Linked DNA regions of Canis lupus familiaris. The protein of the gene in region 1 purifies or fractionates together with the protein of each later gene. This does not show direct contact. Links are inferred from orthologs where the notes say so. Each region holds a gene or a part of one and is shown in the gene's direction. Other genes may lie near its edges. The genes, in order: AP3M1, RABL6, AP3S2 and AP3B2.

Region 1 (5,454 bases):
ATGTTAACTAACAATATAGTGGGTTATAATTGTAGTATATAAGTGTATCAAATCATCATGTTGTATAGCTTAAACTTAACACGATGTTAAATGTCAATTATATCTCAATAAAACTGGGAGAAAAATTAAAATTATAAATAGCATTATAAAACTAGCATTATGTCGTTACCCCCAAATTACTAGGATATAGAAAATTTAAGACTCTCCACCACAGAGTACATATTATTTCCTCCAAGTCTTTGTTTTATACATGCAGAAGATTTATTAAAACAAAAAGATGGGAAATTAGTCTGTCAGTGAGATCTCATGCATTGTGACCTTGTACTTTGTTTTAAGCTTCTTTTTTTTTCTAAAGATGTTTATTTATTTACTCATGAATGACACAGAGAGGCAGAGGGAGAAGCAGGGAGCCTGATGCAGGGCTCCATCCCAGGACCCTGGGATCATGACCTGAACCAAAGGCAGATGCTCAACCACTGAGCCACCCAGGTGCTCCATGTTATAAGTTTGTAATTTTTATTTCTTGAATATAGCTAGAAATTAGGTACATCCAGATGACAGTATTTTTTGAGAGTGTTGAAGTCTTCTAGAGAAAGATTTCTGTGAAATGTTACATAACACACCAGCTCTGCTGTCTACCATTGTAAACCCCGCTCTAAGTGTACTGACCTAAAAAAATGGGACAAGAGAGGCCTATAAGAGGCCTTTATTCATCTTCTGTACAAAGCTGAGCATTAGGAGAAATTCAAGGAAAGATAAGATAGAATGTATGCACCTAAAACTTAGACTCTGGATGGGAGATTAGAAAAAAATTAAAGTATGTAAATAATAATATAACATTGTAAAAGGCAACTCCATACTTTATAAACAATACAGTGACATTGGAAAGTACACATGATATAATACTAAATGGAAAAAATACCAACATAAAACTATAAAAGTTTCTGTTAATTACACAAACATTCCTACAGACAAAAAAGTTCTAAAATATTTTCAATGACCGTCTCCAACTAAGGAACAACATACTATCTTTATTTTTGCTTAATACTTTCTAATTTCTAAAATAAACATGTATTTTATAGTTACTAAAATAGAGAATGAAAATACATAGGTTATTAAGGCAGTGCATTCAAGAGAATGGTTCAGTAGATGAAATAATCCCTCCTGAACTGTGGTGCTTGGCCCCAATGCAGGGCCCTAAAGAATCAGCAGAATTTAGGGAAAGAGGGAGGAATAAGAGCATTCTGTAGATGGAACTATATGAGAAAAAAAACACACAACATGAAAAACCTAGAATTATATTAATTATTTAACAGGAGCAGAGCTGTTTTTTTACTGAGTAATGAGACACAAACACCAATCATAATTAGACTGTAAAATCTAATTATATATATACAGTATATTGTATATACAGTATGATTGCAACTATATTTTAAGGTGCAGTCAAAAATAACAAACTTACCAAAATAGAAAAAAATAAATGCAGCCTATTTATGAGGGAAATGTTTAAAGAATTATACCAAACTGTTAATGGTAGTTGTATTTTGGTAACAGAAAGATAGATCCTTTTTAGCCACTTTTCTGAGCTTTCCATGTGTTGTTGTTACTAAGCATATACTACTTTTGAATTGGAAATGTAAATTAACCAAAATGTTAAATATGTCACAGCTCAAGGGTGTGTTTTGGACAATCAGACTTACTTTCAGACATATGTCAATTTACCAGTAAATTAGCCCTATATTAAACCTTAGCCATATTACAGCCATATGGTTGTGCTGACCTTAAAATGGGAAAAGGCCAGAGTGTGTTCTTCATCCTGTTACTCTGCTGAGGCCTGCTTGGCAGCATCTCATGTAGAATTTAAGCTGAATACCAAAGGGCCTACTTATCACTTATTCTCAGTGGAAACATTTTATCGGCAGAAGGTTCTACAACAACTAGCCTCTTTTCTTCATCACTGGCAGCAGGACGAGATTCTGTTGTTGAGCCACTAGAATTAGGTTAGGTTACTGTTAACACACAGGAAGCAAAAGATAGGTAAATGAATTTAACCTGGTTTGGCACATAGAGGACCACATGGCCTATTTCTGTCCCCTAGAAATTTGATCATGTCGGTATAGCAATTCCAGCAATTCTGGAAACCATCCACAACTTCGATGAAGAAAACGTAAACATTAAAGAAGCAACTAAAGCATTCTTTTTTTTTTTCCTGTTAATAGTTTTTCTTTCTTTTTTTGTTTTTAAAATAAACTATACACCAGTGTGGGGCTTGAACTCACGACCCCAAGGTCAAGAGTCGCACATTCTACCAACTGAGCCAGCCTATCACCCTTGTTAATAGCTTTCCTGATGACTATTTTATGCATTACCTTTGCTTTCTCCTTTTCCGGTTTCTAGGCAGTAGTAATGTTGGGGACACACTCCCCACTGGGCAGCTGTCCAACATCCCATGGCGGCGGGCAGGGGTAAAGTACACAAATAATGAAGCCTATTTTGATGTCGTTGAAGAAATAGATGCAATTATAGATAAATCAGGTAATTGTGTGCATGTGATCTTATTTGGGAAAAACAGTTGAGCTGACAAAATTGAAATCTCTTGGTAGTATGGTTTCAGCAGAAAGGCATTCACTTCCTGATAGCTTAAAATCTGTTTATTTTGCCCAGAGGCTACATATAATTTTCATAACCACTAGCTGAGATCTGCCAAACCTTTGTAAATCAGATCTCATGCTGCCTTACTTTAAGCCAGTTATTACCCTGTCTGCCTCTCCCTCTTGCCATTTATTCAACATTTATTGTATTATCTACCATGCACCATACTTTTGCTACCACTTTACATACAGTACTTCTGAAGACCCCAGACAAAACAGCTGTACTCTATTAGAACCATAAATTTTACTAAAAACATCTAGTCCAACCTTCACATTTTATACATAAGGAAACTGAGGCTCAAAAGGGTTTAGTAATCTGCTCAAGGTCACACAGCTAGTTGCTGTGTGAAAATGAGTTATTGTGAATTATAGCCAGTATTTTTTCTTCAATCAGTGCCCTTTTCATTATAAAAATTCTATCATACAGAATAATAGCTACATTATTACAGAATAATGGCTCCTATTCAAAGTTAACAGCTTAGTCCATTTCAATGAGAAATTTGCCTCATTTTTAAATTCCATTAAAAATATTTTAACTTCAAACACTTTTTTTTTCTAAAAGGGAAAGAGTTGATGGGGAGGGACAGAGGCGGAAGGGGAGAGAGAATCTTAAGCAGGCTCCATGCCCAACAGGAAGCCCAAGGTGGGGCTGCATCTCAGGACTTTAAGATCATGACCTGAGCAGAAATTAGGCGCTGGCTGCTTAACAGACCGAGCCACCTAGGCACCCCAAAAACATTTTAATTTCATATCCAGCAGTCTTACAAGGTTGACTATGTCAAGACAGAGGCAGGTTTGATATTCCGTAGAATTACCCCAGTCCTACCAGTTAGGTGTGGGCGTTTAGTGAAGAAACTGTCATAACTGGTGCAATGGATCCTCTGTCCCACTAACTTGTTAGTAGATGTGCAAGTTTCATTATGTCTGACACCGAGGTGATGTCTCCATTATTTCAGAGACAGTGATCGCTCTAGTCTTTACTAGACTCCAATTCCAGTGATGTTATCACTTCCTTTCTTCAGGATCTACAGTGTTTGCAGAAATTCAGGGGGTCATTGATGCTTGCATTAAGCTATCTGGAATGCCTGACCTTTCTCTTTCTTTCATGGTAAGTTTTGTTCTCCTGTCCTGTAGATCTTTGTATGCCTAATATATATGAAGTACTGAAAGAAATGATAAATACTGAGAGATGTTTGTATCTTAGATTGTAAGTATTATCTCAGAAATATTCTAAGATTTATTTACTTATTTAGAGAGAGCATGAGCAGGGGGAGGGGCAGAGAGAGAGAAAGAGAGAATCTTAAGCAGACTCCACGCTGAGCGGGGAGCCTGACATGGGGTTTGTTCTCCCAACCCTGAGATCATGACTTAAGCCAAAATCAAGAGCCTGCTGTTTAACTAAACCACCCAGGTACCCCTATCTCAGAAATATTCTTAGCACAGCTTCCCAAGACAGTGGCTTACATAATGAGCATGGCCTTTATGGAAAGGCTGAGGAGAAGTCTTCTCCTGGCTATGTTAGAAGTGGCTTAAATGGCTGGATGGCTTCTGCAAATCTGTAGTCTCACTGAATTATTATTTGCTTTACTGATAAGAAAGGGCATTGATCTTTTGCATCATTTTAGATTTGGCATGATACACTACTAAGAAAAGAGAACAAAGTTCTGTTGCTATCTCGTTTTGACCTTGAGTTCTTCCAACTTCATTTTTGTCATCTGTGAAATGGAAATGATAGTACGGCTCACATTTTCTACTTAATAGTAATTGAAATTCAACTAAAATAACATATGAAATATTTGCGGCCACCTGGGTGGCTCAGATGGTTAAGTAGCCGGCTCTTGATTTCAGCTCAGGGTTGTGAGGTTCGAGATCTGTGTCTGGCTCCACACTCAGTGGAGAATCTGCTTGAAGATTGTCTCTCCCTCTCCCTCTGCCCCCTCCCCTGCTTTACAAAATATATTTGAAATCTCAAAGCCTTGTGAAACTGTTAACTGTGTGTTATTGTGGTCATAGTAACAAACTCGTAATGTAACTTTTATCCTTAGGGAGTACATTAATTTCTCATAGTATCCTAGCAGACTTGCCCTATTCCGCACACTCTGTGAATACTGCCGTCTTGTTTTCCTGGCAGAACCCACGGCTTCTCGACGATGTCAGCTTCCACCCCTGCATCCGGTTCAAGCGCTGGGAATCTGAAAGAGTTTTGTCATTTATTCCTCCAGATGGAAATTTCCGACTCATATCGTATCGTGTCAGCTCACAAAAGTACGTTGATGCATCAACTAGAAATCTGCTATCATGTATCAGAGTGATGGGTAGTCCCCTTACCTTTTTCATTCTGACAGGTGGATACTTGAATTCATCACTGCTCTCTTTGGCCATGGCTCATTAGGAAACTCAGGAAGAACTGGTGAAATATGTATCTAAAATAATCAGTGTTCCTTGAATGTGAGAATATAAAGTACTAGTAAAACATATACCGGAGAACAAACACTTTGGACTGTGCACAACCTACACAAAACCTTGAACCCATGCCATAATTTTACTGTGGTCTGTAGACTTCATATCTGACAGAGGGAGACAGATACATCTCTAATTCTCTAGGCAATCGCCCAATTAACTGACTTCCGGTCACTCTTTCGGGTACTAAGATTAAATGAATGAATTGGCATTGTGGGTTGTAAATGGTTTGTCCCTTGAAAATATCAGAAGGCATTTGGGTAGCATCAGTAATACTCAAAAGCAGAGGAGTTATTTCTTGGCTCTTACCACATAGGGACAATTTCATTTAGTTTAATTTTAA
Region 2 (4,362 bases), on another chromosome or scaffold:
GCCACAGTGGCTTCCATTCTTCCTCCAATATGGGTACAGGCCTGCTCAGGGAGTGGTGGTCTTTCCTCTTGTGTCTTTTTCTCTGGAAGGAAACAAAGGCCCCACAGACCGAGTGGTTGGTGGCGAGTTCCATCAGAGGGAGGTTGGTACGGGCATACTTCTCAGCGGTGCCAGCTGCCCGTGCACCCTGCTTTCCCTCAGGTCCCCGGGTGTTGTGTGCATCCCTCTTAGACCTGTGTAGCTTCTTACCCAAGTACAACAAGCACACCAATCCCAAGGGGAACACCCCAGGTTTCCTGTACCTGGCAGTCCGCACCAGCCATGCTGGAGGAAGCAGCAGAATGTTCTGTGGGTCATGGCTGTGGCTGCTGCACCTGTATGGGCCCAGTTCCTGCCCCGGAGGTGGTGTGTGCTCCCCTCAGCATGCTGAAGGATGCAGCAGGGAGCCTCGTGTTTAGCATGTCAGAGCTGCCTCCCCTTCTGGGGGCACCACGTGTGGAGGGGCACAGTCATTCTAGGTATTGCTCACGTCACCGACCCTTAGAGCCACACTGAGCTGCTTGGGTGGCACGCTAGCCCTCTGGCCAAGGCCAGGTGGCCTCCCTGTACCCTGATGCTCAGCTGCTGTGAACCCCTCAAGGGCTGGCCAAGTGAGGACACAGGGCTGAAGGGGTCTGTGCTTCCTCCTCTAGAGGGAGACGCTGCTCCGGCAGCTGGAGACGAACCAGCTGGACGTGGACGCCACACTGGAGGAGCTGTCAGTACAGCAGGAGACAGAGGACCAGAACTATGACATGTATGTCAGCCCAGGGGCGGCCCTTGGAGGTCAGCCCTACAGGCCATCTCTGTGGGAGGCGGCCTCACTTCAGAGGCCTCTGAGCTGGGGGCTCTGCCCAGCAGACAGCAATGAGGAGTGCCCCCACCTGGGCAGAGCGGACAGCTCACAGGGTGGGGGGGGTGTTAGTGTGCTGCTCCAAAACCCACAGCATTTCAGCGTAGATGCGGGCAGGGAGAACCCAGGCTGCTCCAGGCGGGGGGTAAAAGTGGCCCTCACGGTGAGGTCACCCTTGCGGCCTATTCTGTTCTCTGCACCAGGGTGCTTTACCCTCAACACTCAGGAAAGTAAGTGCTTGTCCGGAATAAGCAGCTTGAATTTTCAGTGGTGCCCATTTCACCTAGGGAAGCAGGCACTCCCTGCAGCTGGGCCTTCTTTAGCTGGCCTGACCAGCACCCAGGGGGCCCCAGCCTGATGGGCACGACTGGGGCCCGGCTGACCCAGGCCAAGGGTCCATCTCGGGCCCTGCTGACACTGGCTCCCAGGCCTTTGCGTTTGGGCTCCCAGCTTGCTGCCATTGTACAGTGGGTCTTCAGAGAGCTACTTAACCTTGGGAGGGTCTGCTGGACGGGCTAGGGATGGAGCCTTCCAGGTGGGTGGTGGGCAGGCCTGGGCACTGCCTGCTCAGGGTCCCAGGGGCACCGAGAGTTGGGGGCCCTGTCTGCCCTCCACAGCTCCCGGGGAGGTACTCTCCCTTTCAGGAAGGTGGAGGCCAAACTACCCGTAAGGGCAAGTTCATCTTAGATTTTATTTGGTTCCCATAGAGAGCACCTAAATGTCAGAGATCTGGGGCGGGGGGTAGGCTGGGGTGGGGCTGCCAACCCCCACAGGTCTGTCCCCAGAGGGACTTGCAGAGGGCCTTTGGGTCTCCTTGGAGCCAGGTTCATTTGTTGGTTCTGGAACTAGTAGTTGGTTCTGGGGGAGTGAGTTTTCCTGCATGTAGGCTGCTTGGCTGGTGAGCACCACCCTTGCTGTGGAACCCATCCTGGGAATGCCCAGCTTCTATAAGCTTGGGTACGTGGCACTGGCTGGCATGTTGCCCCCTAGGGAGATGGCCCCTGGAGCCTCCTCTCCATACGTGCCCCACAGCCAGCCCTGGGACCAGGCTGCAAGATGAAGGCAGCACTGCTGGGCAGGGGGCTTGGGGCCCTCTCCACAGCAGGTCCCATGTGTGCTGATGGATGAGGAGCTGCCAAGCCTGCCCATCAGCATTCACTAGCCCCTTCCTTCCGGGACACCCGGCTTGATGTGATAGAGCCCATGAGGTGTGAGGTTGAGGAGCTTGGGGACCAGGACACTGCTGTCACCCTGCTCTCAGAGAGGAGACCAAGGGGAAGGTGGCTGCTCACTGCCTGCTCTGTTTCCCCCAGCTTCCTTGAGATGATGGAGGCACGCAGCCGTGGCCATGCGTCCCCACTGGCAGCCAACGGGCAGAGCCCATCCTCAGGCTCCCAGTCTCCGGTAGTGCCTCCCAGCGCTGTGTCCACAGGGAGCTCCAGCCCCAGCACACCCCAGCCAGCCCCACAGATGCCCCTCCACACGCCCTCAGCCTGCCCCTGTCCCCTGCCCCCCACGGAGGCCCCACTGCCCCCTGCAGCCCCTGCCCCACGGCGCAGCATCATCTCCAGGCTGTTTGGGACCTCACCAGCTGCTGAGGCAGCCCCTTCAGCCCCAGGTGAGCCCTGGAGTGTGAGTGGCCCACGGCGGGAGCGCCTGGTCTCTTCTGGCCCTGGGAGCTTGCAGACTGGGCTGGGATCCTCCTCCCTCCTGGCAGGCAACCCCACAGCCCAGTCACCTGGGTACAGCCTGTGTTGAGCCTGGCAGGAGTGGGCACTGGACACATGGGAAGTGGCTTCTGCTGTCCACAGAGCCAGCCTCAGTCCCAGAGGCCCCAGTGAAAGTCCAGAACGTGGAGGATTTTGTTCCTGAAGAAGGCCTTGACCGCAGCTTCCTGGATGACACTGGCCCCCAGCAGAATGAGAAGAGAGTCGGAGCTAAGGTCCCACAGGACAGTGACAGGTAAGGGCAGAGGCCAGGTGGGCCATGGGTGAGCCAAGGGGACAGAGGGAAGGACTCCCTGAAGGCCTGCACCCCAGGAAGAAGCCTGCATGGACCAGGGATTGGGCCAGGCAAGACACAGGGACCAGCATTCAGGCCTGGCCTCCCACCCCTGCTGCTCCCTCATCACCGGTTCCTGGGTATCTGCGGTGCATACCTCCCTGCACTACACCCAGGGGACACCTGCTGGTCTCCAGCATCCCCATGTCCCTCCAGAAATGCAAAGTAGCAGAACAGGGCCAGCGCCAGGCTGCTCTCCCACCCCCAGACAGCTGAGCCCATCCCTGCCCTGCACCCCACCCGGGGGCACAAGGGCACCCACTTCACACACTCTGCTGCGTGGCAGCATCTCCATCCATCTCCTTGGCCCCACCTCACCCCCCACAGTCTGTGCCATGTCTGCCATACCAGCGGGTTCCCTTCTCAGAGGGCCCCCAAAACCTATACTGGTCCTGGACAGGTCCCCCTTGCTGTCTGTTCTCCCACACATGCTGAGTGCCAAGGATAGAGCAGCCCTGCAGCCAGTGCCCATGGGTGCCCCAGGTCTGGGGCTCAGGGTGGGGAGGGGGCTCTCTGCGCCCCCCTGTGACCTCTGACCCCCTGCCTCTCTTTTGCAGCGATGAGGAGGTCCCAGGCGGGAACCCACTGGTAGCAGGTTTCCAGGATGATGTGGACATTGAAGATAAGCCACCTAGCAGGCCCCTGCTGCCCGTGGGCCCCATCACCAAGGAAAACATCACTTCTTCCAGTGAGGAGGAAGCAGAGAAGGTGGCAGGGCACCCCAAGGCCACTGTCCCCATCCCCCAGAAGTGCTCTGAGCCAGAGACCAAACGGTATGTGTATGGGATCCACCCTGGGGGTGGTGGCAGCCAAGGGCACCCTGACTTCTCCTTTGTCCCAAAGGCCCTCCACAAAAGCTGCCAGGCTGCACAGGGGTATGGCTCCCAGGGCTGCAGAGTCCCGCCAGCCAAGCACCCGCAAATCCCCCGCTGAAGGCCCCTCTGGAGGCCGTGAAGAGGGCAAGAAGGAACAGGCAGCGTCATCAGAGAGTGACCCCGAGGGGCCCATTGCCGCCCAGATGCTGTCCTTTGTCATGGATGACCCTGACTTCGAGAGCGACTCAGACCCTCAGCGGAGAGCGGTGAGGAGGGTCTGGGGCCCACTCCAGTGACTGCACAGCACAGGGGCTGCCATGTCCTGGCTGCCACATCGGACCCTGCTGGCCACCCGGACCCCAGGCTTATCACCTGCCTGAGAGATGCAGGAGCCATCCTGCAGGGTCCCATGACAGGGCGCCAGCCACCCAACCTGCCCACTCTTCTGCAGGACGAGTTCCCGGTGCGAGAGGACCTCTCAGAGGAAACTGATGAGGATGCTGCTCCTGCCCAGCCCCCCCCACTCCCCAAGCCCCCTGTGGCCTCCTTCAGACTGAAGAATGACTCGGACCTCTTTGGGTTGGGACTGGCAGA
Region 3 (5,454 bases), on another chromosome or scaffold:
CTGAGCCACCCAGAGATCCCCTGTTTTCATTTTTCTAGGTTATAAACCTAGCACTAAAATTGCTGGGTCGTATAGTAACTCTGGTGAACATTTTGAGAAATTGTCCAACTGTTTTTCCAAAGTGGCTGTACTGATTTATGTACCCTTCAGCAATGTATAGGAGTTCCAATTTCTCCACTTCCCTATCAACATTTGTTACTATCTTTCTGATAAGAAACACTTTAATGGGTATAAAGTGGATTCTCATTATGGTTTTAATTTGTTTCCCTAATGACTAATGATGTTGAGCAACTCTGCATGTCCTTATTGGCCATTGGTAAACTTTCTTTGGAGGACATAGGATTTTTATAAGAACCACATTAGCTTGTAAGTGAAAGTTACCTTGAAAATTGCAGAGAACTAAGAGATATAAGGGGTTGTTAAAAGTCTTTGAGATATCTAAGCAAGTGTTAGTTCACTTTTCTGTTGAAATTAGAAATTAGTTAGCTTCACCATTTCATAGCACTTCTCTGCTGCAACCTCCTCCTAGGGTCAGATAAATGGCTTTAGTTTGAAAGATGTTTTTGTCAGGTTAAAAAAAGTGCTGATATTTTAGCATGTTTTGTACTTCCAAGTACACAGAGTTAATCCTTTACAGTATCCTGGCGTCAGTTAGCTTTGTGACTTTAAATGGAAACCCGGAAAACAGTGACTGATTGACTCAAACTTAAAGCGAATAGTGATTAGCAGGTTTTCATTCATTCAGTAAATACTGAGCCATTGTTTATCCATGTTAAGTCAAAATTATGAAATGTAATTTCTCCACAATGACATTTTCCCTGGTTTTTTTTTTTTTCAGTCTATTAAATAACCTTTCAAACTTAAGGCAGTGCTTAAATTCAAACTTAAATTCAATGCTTTAGAAAGAAGGGATTAACATTACTTGAGTCTATTTTCTGACTCTTAGGGCAAGTCCAATCTGAAGGTTTTCTTAAGCTTTGGTACTCAAAATGTATACCCAGACCAGCAGCATTGGTACCAGCATTGGTATTACCTGGACGCTTGTTAGAAATGCAATCTTAGGGATCCCTGGGTGGCGCAGCGGTTTAGCGCCTGCCTTTGGCCCAGGGCGCGATCCTGGAGACCCCGGATCGAATCCCACGTCGGGCTCCTGGTGCATGGAGCCTGCTTCTCCCTCTGCCTATGTCTCTGCCTCTGTCTCTCTCTCTCTCTTTGTGACTATCATAAAATAGAAAAAATAAAAAAAATAAAAAGAAATGCAATCTTAGAATATACCCCAAACCTACTAAATCAGAACCTATATTTTAATAACATTCCCAGGTGATTCGTTGCATATTGAAATGTAAGGGCATTGGTCTAGAGCTTTTAATTGCTTTTGTCTTAATGATCAGTGTATTTCTTCCATCATCCTTTTATTTTTTTTAAGATTTATTTATTTATTTGAGAGAGAGCAGGGGGAGGGGCAGAGAGAGAATCTCAAGCAGATTCCCTTCTGAGTGCACAACCCATGGCAGGGCCCAATCTCACGACTCTGAGATCGTAACTTGAGCTGAAAACAAGAGTTGGGTGACTGAGCCACCCAGGTGCCCCCCCATCGTCCTTTTTTTTTTTTTTTTAAACCATATTTACTATGAACCTCCTCTGTATAGACAGAAATCAGTATGAGTTATCAAGAGGTATCATTACAGTTGAGCTTTCTTGTGTATGGTAGTGAAGAAAAGTATAACTTAAAATTCTAATCTGTAAATAGAATTTTTTTCTGTCAATAATACTTTGTTGGTGAGTAAATACCCCATCTTATATGTAATACCATATTTTACCAGTACAAAAGATGGAAAATTCAGGTTTTAAAAACATGGTTACACAATTAAATCTTGACCTCCCTGAAAGGTTAGACCTATTGACATTTGTTATTTGCCCTGGTGTAGATATATTCTAGGGGAAGGCAAAATACTCCAGGACTGGATCTTCTAGTTATTCTTTGGTCTTTTATGAGAGTTTATTAGTTCTCCTTCCCTTGTTTCTTTTTTTTTTTTTTTTTAAGATTTTATTTATTTTAGAAAGAGAGTATGAGTGGGAGGAGGGACTGAGGGAGAAGGGGAGAGAGAATCTCAAGCAGACTCTTCGCTAAGCATGGAGACTGAGGTGGTACTCCATCTCACAACCCTGAGATCATGACCTGAGCCGAAACCCAGTCGGATGCTGAACCAATTGAGCTACTCAGGCACCCTGCTCCTTTCCTTGGTTATTAACCATAAGGAAGTGTCGCTTTACCTCTCAGGACAGTAATGGTTAGTGACTTGATGTCCAGATAAATGTGCCCTAGCTTAATTCCTGTAACTGAGTCTTACCATTTTCCATAGATTCCCCTTTTATTTTTTCTGGAAACTGGTACCAAATCTTTAGATCGTTCCTGCTTAGAAGCACTTCTCTCCCTGTTCATCCATGGAATGTAGTTTTTCAGACATCCCCACTGATTCACTTTCTTTTATTCCATAGCCAGAAGAAATTCAACAACAGATTGTTCGAGAGACCTTCCATCTAGTTCTCAAGCGAGATGACAACATTTGTAACTTCTTGGAAGGTGGAAGGTAAATAATGGGCTTCAGTTTTCTATCCGTGTATCTACTGTTGGGTGTTCTTCATCACTGTTGCCTCTTCAAGTGGTACTCAAGTGTCAGGTGGGTACCTGAGCTGCCCAGGAAGAGACCCAGTTCTGTTTGGGAAGCTGTTGAATGATTGTGCTTCAGATGTTACTCATTTAGATGTTTGGTTTCCGGGAAGATGGTAGAAGAAAAAGTGAGGTAAAGTGGTTTTAGGTACCTCTGCCAAACCTGGTTGCTGTTCCCCTGGTAGAAATGGCCTGTTGTTTGCCTGTCTTCCCCTTTCTGTTGCGCCTATTCTCATTCTTTGGCATGGAGTTTTCTTCGATACATTTAAGATACAGCCATTTAAACATTTCCCATCTTCCACAGTTTGATTGGTGGCTCTGACTACAAATTGATTTATCGGCACTATGCTACACTCTACTTTGTGTTTTGTGTGGATTCATCAGAGAGTGAACTTGGAATCTTGGACCTCATCCAGGTATGTGTAGTCAGCTAATGATGGCAGCCACTAATGAGAATTTGCACTGGATTTTTGAGTAACCATCCTGTAGATCTTTTTGTCAGTCTCTTTATTGATGCTGGTAAGAATTGCCAGATGTCCACCATATGGTGCTGTAAGAAAGCTCCTAGCAACCCTTAAAAACTAGAGCTTTTGGACTCATTGGTTTCTACTGAGCCCTCTCACTGCCTTTGGTTTTCATGTACAATTCTGACACCAATTCCAATGTGTGTGCTTCCCCCTCCACCACCACCTAGCAGTTAACTCAGTTCTCTGTGGGCAGTGACTAGGTGTCCCACAAATTTAACTCAATTCTGACACTATCTACCTGGAGATAGATACCAATCACAACTCCAGGGTGGTATCACCTGTGCTTCTGACTGGCTATAGATCAGGGAGGTTCCCATGACTTCCTCCTTGGGTTTGATTTGCTAGAGTGGCTCATAGAACTCTTGAGAGGAACATGTTGCTTACTAGATTACCAGCTTACTATAAAAGGATATAACTCAGGAATAGCCAGATGGAAGAGATTTACAGGGCAAAGAATGGGGAAGTGAGGAAAGGACATGCCCTTTCCAGTCAGGCCACTCTCCAAAGTCCACCAACCCGGAAGCTCTCAAAACAATGTCCTGTTGGATTTCTCTGGAGATTGAGGGTGGGACTGAAAGTTCCAATCCTCTAATTGTATGGTTGGTTCTCTGACTACCAGCCTCCATTGTTAGGTGCTTTCTAAAAATCATCTTATTAACATAAACAGGACATCTTTATCATTTAAGAGCTCTATGCCAGAAACAGAGATGAATACCAAATATTTTCTTTTCTTTTTTTTTTTTTTTAAAGATTTTATTTATTTATTCATGAGTGACACAGAGAGAGAGACACAGAGAGAGAGACACAGGCAGAGGGAGAAGCCGGCTCCGTATAGGGAGCCTGACATGGGACTCGATCTTGGGTCTCCAGGATCAGGCCCTGGGTTGATGGCAGCACTAAACCGCTGAGCCACCCGGGCTGCCCCCAAATATTTTCTTATTATAAATTATAGTATCATATCATCTTTTGAAATTTTTTTCAACTGTCAAACCGATTGACATTTAAGAATTCATACTTTTTATTTTCACTTGTAATTCTAGCCTAAGACAAAGAGACTTGATGTTTTAGTTAGTCTGTGCAATCTTGACATAGGTAAACATGATTTCTTTAGGATTTTTGAAAATGGCTTACAGATTTTTTAAAAGATTTTATTTATTTACATGTTTGTTTATTAATTTATTTGCGAGAGATGGAGAGAGAAAGCAAGCATCAGCAGGGGGAGAGGCAGAGAGAGAAGCAGACACCCCACCAAGCAGGGAGTCTGATGCAGGGCTAGATCCTAGGAACCTAGGATCATGACTCAAGCCCAAGGCAGACACTTAACCTGACTGAGGCAACCAGGTGCTCCTGGAATTTTTTTTTTTTTTTTTTTTTTAAGTAATTTCTGCATCCAGTGTAGGGCTCAAACTCAGAACCCTGAGAGCAAGAGTCACATACTGTATCAGTAAGTCAGCCAGGTGCCCCTATTCCATCATTTTATACATGAAATTTTAGGCAGGCTTCCTTTAAGTGACTTAAGTTTCTTAAGTAGAAAGCACTGAAATAGAAGCTTGCATTAAAATCTAATTAACAATTATAGAAAACTAGCTACAAAAATATAAATTTTACATTCAGAAAATCATTTTAAGATGATTAATTTAAAATCATGCTTATATTCGCATACAGTATATAACAGTACAAATTATCTAAAAAAGAGTATCTCTAAGATGATTTAAAAAGATTTTAAAAAATATTTTATTTATTCATGAAAGACACAGAGAGGCAGAAACACAGGCAGAGGGAGAAGCAGGCTCCTCACGGGGACCCCAATGTGGGACCCGACCCTCAAACTGGGATCATGCCCTAGCCAAAGGCAGATGCCCAACCTCTGAGCCACCCAGACATCCCTAAAAAGCTTTCTTTTCTTTTCTTTTCTTTTTTTATTTTTAATATTTTTTATTTATTTATTAGAGATACTGAGAGAGAGAGAGAAGCAGGCTCTATGCTGGGAGCCCGACGTGGGACTCGATCCTGGGTCTCCAGGATCACACCCTGGGCTGAAGGTGGCGCTAAACTGCTAAGCCACCGGGGCTGCCCCCTAAAAGGCTTTCTTAAAACACCTGAGTCAGATTGAACATTGAGAGTCAGTGTGGCATAATAGAAAGAGCTTAAGATCTAGAATCAGAAAACCTGCATTTGAGTCCTGGATCTACCATCTGAATATAGAAGTAATAGGTTCTAGGATTCAATTGTGACAATGTATTTTATAGTATTATA
Region 4 (5,971 bases), on another chromosome or scaffold:
CTTGATTAACTGGGGGAAGAAGGTAAGTATAATACTCAGATTACTATTTCTTGTAACTGGATAGATGGTAGTGCCTTACAGTGTGTTTGGAAATAAAGATGTTACAAACAAATTTGTGAAAATAATTTGGAGCCCAGCTTTTGAGAGCCTGAGATTGTAAACTCTGGGGGGTATTTAAGCCTAGGAGCTAGGAGATTTTAGGATTTGGATTCCAGGACAGATTCTTAACATATATATATTTAAATAAATATATTTAATATATATATAAATAAATATATTATATTATATTATATTATATTATATTATATTATATTATATATATTAAAGCCACAGAAGGAAGTGAAGGTAACCCAGGGATATAAAATGAGTACAGACAGTGCACAGATAGGAACTTTAAAGACACAGACATTAGGGATGACCAGAATGCAGTGGAAGAGTGTTTCAAGGTAACTGAGAAAAAGTAAACTGAAGGCATCATGCGGTTTCAAGGAGGCAGCAATCCATAATGTCAACCCAAACAAGGGAAAGAAATCACGACCATTGGCTTGACAAAGAGTCGGTCAACCTCTCCCTGTTCTGCTCCCCACTTCCTGTTCTGTGGGACAAGTCTGGCGAAGTCAGAAGAGGGGGAGCTGGGTTATTTTTCCCCAACATTCTATTACGAACAATGTTAAACATACAGAAAAATTGATTTTATAATACAAGGAATACATACATACCCTCCACCTAGATCCAACCATTGTTGACATTGTGCCATGTTTGCTTTATTTATTTTTTATTTTTTAAACATATTTTATTTATTTATTTATTTATTTATTTATTTATTTATTTATTTATTTATTTGAGACACACAGAGGCAGAGACATAGGCAGAGGGAGAAGCAGGCTCCCTGCAAAGAGCTCGATGTGGGACTCAGTCCCCAACCCCACCATCACGCTCTGAGCCAAAGGCAGATGCTCAACCGCTGAGCCACCCAGGCATCCCTGCTTTATTTTTTTTTAAGATTTTATTTATTTATTCATGAGAGACAGAGAGAGGCAGAGACATAGGCAGAGGGGGAGGCAGGCTCCCTGTGGGGATCCCGATGCAGGACTCCATCCCAGGACCCCAGATCATGCCCTGAGCCCAAGGCAGATGTCCAACCGCTGAGCCACCCAGGTGCCCCTCAGCCCTAAATTCTTATCAGCGTCTCAAACCAGGTTAAAGTGAATAAAGGAGCAAATAAGAGATAAATAAATAAAACACAGTGAATGGGAAATTTGGTTTCCAGAAGTTTGTAAAGGGGAGAGAGAGAGAGAGAGAGAGAGAGAGAGAAAGAGTAGCTGGAGATAATTAGTTCAAGAAGGTTTATTTTATTTTTGCTGTTACTTTTGCTTATTATCTGGATGGGGAGCCTGGAGCAAGTCTAACTGCTGATGGGAAGGAGCCAGTTGTGTGGGAGAGGCTGAAGGGAACTGAAGCAGGCCTGGACCCCTGGGTGGTGGGAGGGGAAGCCTACAGAGCTGCCTTTGAGGAGGATCACTGCCCACGGGGAGGAGAACAGGAGAGGAGACGCAGATGTTTGGGAGCTGCAGGGGATTTTATCTGAGGCCTTTCATTTTCATGAGAAACAGGTGGTGAAGCTCTCAGAGCCAGAGAGCAAGGCTGTGGGTGGGGATTTGAGGCACATTGAGCAGGTCTGAAATCCAGCAAATAAAGCCAACTACTCCTGGCAGGGTAGGGGCAGCAAGGATGGGAGGGCCTTGGGTATGAGAGAGAGAGCAGCTAGAGGGACGGGCTGGGAGGCTGGGCCAGGTGGGGAGGAAGTAGAGACCAGAGAATACTGAGAAGGAAGGAAGGAATCAAGGACCTGGCTCCGGGTTCGGGTCAGAGTGGGAAGGGGGTGTACAGGGTTTCTGAGGAAGAGCAGTTCTGGGGAGGCAGGGGTCCAGATGTGGCAGGAGAGTGGGAGTGAGGAGGGCATCCCTCACCTCTGTCTGGATCAGCTCCCCTGGCCCACAGGCCAGAAATAGGGGTGGTTTACTCCCCAGTCCCTGCCGTCCTCCCCATCTGGAGTCCTATCTCTGAGCCACGAAAAGGAAACCAGAGCCTCCTTCCCTGCCAGTGTCTGGTTTCTGAGTTTCGGGGGCGGACCGTCTAGGACAGGGACAGGCGTCCCTGGCTCCCTGGTTGGCTCAGTCTCATCTCAGAGCAGGACCCGGTGCCCCATGCAGCGATTCCTGCAGCTCCCGGGGGCTGTGGTGAGGCCAGGGGGCAGAGGGGCTGGTGCAGCTGACCAGGAGGCTGCCAGCCCTGTGCTGGCCCCTGAAGGCGGGCCCCCACCCTGGTACCAGGCCCTGCAGCCTGAGGAGCTCCGGTGGCTGCAGGCCCCCGAGGAAGACACAATCCCGGAGGCGTCCCTGGAAGGGCCTGGCCCGGAGCCTGGCCAGAGCCAGAGCCAGCCGCTAAGGTACAGAGGAACTCCCAGGGCCCCTCACCCCCATGCCAGGAAGGGTGGACAGCTGCTGCTCTAGCTCAAACTCCACCTCCCCAGGAGGAGGTCTAGGTGGGTGGGGGCATCAGGGGTGCAGTGTGGGGGCTGAGTGTATGAGGCGATGAACATAACTCGGGCAGCTCTGGCAGGGGGGGATAGTGTTATGGTTCCACCTGGACCTTCCCCCTCCCAGGTCCCGGCTGCAGTGGGCTCTGGGTGAGGTTTGGAGACAGGCTAAGATGCAGAGTTTGGGCAGCCCACCCCCACCCCCACTTCTAATGGATTGGGATTTGGTGGTGAGGAGAGGGAGGAAGGTGTATATCAAGGAGGTGAGCACGTCTGGCCTCAGTGTCTGGGTGGCTCTGGCCACCCCCTGGAGAGTTCCTCGGCCAGGTCAGGCCAGGGGTCAGGGCAGAGAGAGTGCGGTGTAAGGGGATCTGACCACAGAGGCTAATGTTTCATGGCTTCGGAGCCTTGCTGTGCATCCCTCGCTCCCTCTCCCTCTCGGGCACACAAGATGACGGCCCGGGGGTGGTCACATCCCAGGAGGGGGCTGATGTCTGCTCATGGGCATTTGACAGTCCTGCCTGGCTCCCTGTGCCATGTACCCACAGGCCCTCCCCTCCCTCAATTCTCCTTGGCCGGCTGGAGCCTCCAGGGCCTGGAGTATTTGCACCAGGCCGGGAGGGTGGGAGTAGTATGGGTGCTGCAGCACGGCCCCAGGGGTGGTGCATTTGACAGGGGCCTGTGGCATTTCTAGGAGTGGTGAGGACACTCCGGGTGAGGAAGTCTGCTTTAGAGAACACCCAGGCAAACTCCAGCTGCTCCCAGTCAGGTCACCCAGGCCCACCCCTCAGGAGGAGGCCGGAGGGTCCATGAGGCTGCCTGTGTTTGATCCTAGAAGCCTAAATTCATCTTCCAGCATCTCAAATAGGAGTTGACTGGACACTGGGGAATGAGGCCAGAGTGACAGTTTTGTTGAGAGGGTGTATGTGTACGTGGTGTGTGTTGTGGAGGGGCTTGGGTGTGGGGGTGCATTGGGTGGGATGTGCACATCCAGATGGGGGTGTGGGAGGGAATGGAGAAGTCTTGTGGGAATGTGTGTGTTTGTGGGGGTCTAGGGATGTGGGTGTGAGGTATGTGTTAATGCATATGTGGGTATATGTGTGTAGAGTTTCTGTGGGAAGTGTCTGAACGTGTGGTGTATGTGTCTGTGATCGTGTGTTTCTCCAAGGGTCGTGGGTGTGTATGAGTTTATGTATGAATTGTGTGTGTCTGGGGGTACAGGTGTGTCTGGGGATGTGTGGATATATCTATGGGGTGGAGGTGTGGGGGTATGGGTATGTCTAGGGGTGTAGGTGTGAGGTGTGTCTGGGTGTGAGAATGTCTGGGGTCCAGGTGGTCTGTGGGGTGTGGGTATATCTGGGGGTGTGGGTATGTCTGGGGTACAGATGTGTCTGTGGGGGGGATGTGGGGATGTCTGGGGTACAGATGTGTCTGTGAGGGGTACAGGCGTGTCTGTGGGGTGCAGGTGTGCCTGTGGTACGTGTGGATGGTGCTGGAGCGTGGAGGGGGTATTGGGATGTGTGGGTATTTGTGGGATGTGTGCTGTGAGCTGTCCATATGGTGGAATGTGGCAGTTCAGCGGCCTGCACTCATACTCGGGGACCGGGGTGCCCAGCGTTTATCCTCCCACAGCCCTAATGGTGCCCATGCTCAGCTGCACCGTCTGGGCCTCCTGTACCCCGTGGGCTTGAGCTCAGCCTGCAGGAGTGGACCACCTGGCCTGTGTTTGGGAGAGTGAGAAGATCCTCTGATCTGGGGGCGTTTAGATGAGCATGGCTGGGGCTGGACATTCTTCTGCCTTCTGTGATGACTAGCAGGTCTTCTGTGTCCTGGAAGACATTAGCTTTCTATCCTGCTTTCCACCAAAAAATCTGTTCAGGAAAGACCCTTTCTAAAACCCTTGGATCATCCATAGCTTAGCTCTGCTTCTGTCCCTTCTGAGTGTGCGTTAGGCACTTGGGCATCTGTGCAGAAGGCAGCCCATGCATCACGTTGGCTTCTTCCCTTCCTCTCGGCCTTTGTCGCTGACTTGCCTCTCAGCACCGGCAGCACCGCCACCCTGGCCTGTCTGTGACTGTTGTCCTGCTCATCCCTGCTGTCGCTATTCGCTTCAATTTCTGACATTCTGCTGTCTCTAAATATGTCATTGCTTTTTTTTTTTTTTTTTTTATGGGTTGTCATTGCTTTTTAATTTCTACTGTTAGTGATAACCTTTCTAGGCTGGGTTCTCCTGCCTGGCTCAAAAGCTGTGGCTTATTATCTGGAAGATGAGAGAATTGTGCAGGACTCTGCACACACTGATCACCACATCTTGGAACCGTTTTGGCAACACATGAGCACATCAGTTGTCCCACAGCTGTCTTGGCTGTATAGAAGCATTTTTTCCATGAGTCTATTCACAGGTTCACTTCTTTGACCACCTACCCCTAGACCTCTGAGTATGGTCAGGCAGGTTGTTCACTGCACAAGGGCACATGACTGAGGACTACCAGACTATGCTCCACTCTTTGAAAGGAGAGCGATAGCTCAGGGCTATGTCTCCTTGGAGGGACTAACAGGTGTGGATATGCTTGCAGCAGCCCTTACAATGAAAGCTGGATATAGACCTTAAATCTATATTGGTGCTTTATTTTGTTTTTGTTTGTTTGTTTAAGATTTTATGTATTTATTCATGAGAGACAGAGAGAGGCAGCGACATAGGCAGAGGGAGAAGCAGGCGACATTCAGGGAGCCCGATTCAGGACTCAATCCCAGGACCCCAGAATCACAACCTGAACAGATGCTGAACCGTTGAGCAACCAGGCGCCTTAATGCTTTATTTTGAATATTAAATTTTTGTTTGCCATATCCCAAATATTTTCCTTTCTGTTGCTTTATAGGCTGTATTGTGTCCCCTTCAAATTCCTATGTTGAAGTCCTAACCCCTGGTACCTCAGAATATGACTATATTTGGGGCAGGGGTCTTTAAAGAGGTGATTATGTTAAAATGAGGTCATGAGGGATCCCTGGGGGGCGCAGCAGTTTGGCGCCTGCCTTTGGCCCAGGGCGTGATCCTGGAGACCCGGGATCGAATCCCATGTCGGGCTCCCGATGCATGGAGCCTGCTTCTCCCTCTGCCTATGTCTTTGCCTCTCTCTCTCTCTCTGTGTGACTATCATTAAAAAAAAAAAAAAAAAAAAAAAATTTAAAATGAGGTCATGAGAGCCCTAACCCATTCTGATTGGTGACCTTATAAGAAGAGGAAATTTGGGGGCACCTGGGTGGCTCAGTGGTCGAGTATCTGCCTTCAGCTCAGGTCGTGATCCCAAGATCCTGGGATCGAGTTCCACATTGGGCTCCCTGCATGGAGCCTGATTCTCCTTCTGCCTGTGTCTCTGCCTCTCTGTGTGTCTCTCATGAAAAAAATCTTAAACTAAAAAAGAGGAAATTTGG

The links.
Region 2: the proteins of AP3M1 (region 1) and RABL6 purify together in Homo sapiens (co-immunoprecipitation; 3 studies listed by BioGRID and IntAct, counting the BioPlex papers as one, with this or other methods). This does not show direct contact. The link is inferred for Canis lupus familiaris from reciprocal best matches to the Homo sapiens genes AP3M1 and RABL6.
Region 3: the proteins of AP3M1 (region 1) and AP3S2 purify together in Homo sapiens (co-immunoprecipitation; 3 studies listed by BioGRID and IntAct, counting the BioPlex papers as one, with this or other methods). This does not show direct contact. The link is inferred for Canis lupus familiaris from reciprocal best matches to the Homo sapiens genes AP3M1 and AP3S2.
Region 4: the proteins of AP3M1 (region 1) and AP3B2 purify together in Homo sapiens (co-immunoprecipitation; 3 studies listed by BioGRID and IntAct, counting the BioPlex papers as one, with this or other methods). This does not show direct contact. The link is inferred for Canis lupus familiaris from reciprocal best matches to the Homo sapiens genes AP3M1 and AP3B2.

Annotation. Positions count from the first base shown.
Region 1 is NC_049225.1:25,257,936-25,263,389, reverse strand, and holds part of AP3M1 (AP-3 complex subunit mu-1), read left to right. Parts: intron 1-2,397; coding exon 2,398-2,535; intron 2,536-3,673; coding exon 3,674-3,759; intron 3,760-4,782; coding exon 4,783-4,916; intron 4,917-5,454. UniProt on the Homo sapiens protein: Part of the AP-3 complex, an adaptor-related complex which is not clathrin-associated. The complex is associated with the Golgi region as well as more peripheral structures.
Region 2 is NC_049230.1:48,747,089-48,751,450, reverse strand, and holds part of RABL6 (rab-like protein 6), read left to right. Parts: intron 1-692; coding exon 693-796; intron 797-2,205; coding exon 2,206-2,510; intron 2,511-2,703; coding exon 2,704-2,854; intron 2,855-3,510; coding exon 3,511-3,726; intron 3,727-3,796; coding exon 3,797-4,034; intron 4,035-4,219; coding exon 4,220-4,362. UniProt on the Homo sapiens protein: May enhance cellular proliferation. May reduce growth inhibitory activity of CDKN2A.
Region 3 is NC_049224.1:53,345,428-53,350,881, reverse strand, and holds part of AP3S2 (AP-3 complex subunit sigma-2), read left to right. Parts: intron 1-2,499; coding exon 2,500-2,591; intron 2,592-2,975; coding exon 2,976-3,087; intron 3,088-5,454. UniProt on the Homo sapiens protein: Part of the AP-3 complex, an adaptor-related complex which is not clathrin-associated. The complex is associated with the Golgi region as well as more peripheral structures.
Region 4 is NC_049224.1:55,026,829-55,032,799, reverse strand, and holds the start of AP3B2 (AP-3 complex subunit beta-2), read left to right. Parts: upstream 1-1,867; 5' UTR 1,868-2,207; coding exon 2,208-2,449; intron 2,450-5,971.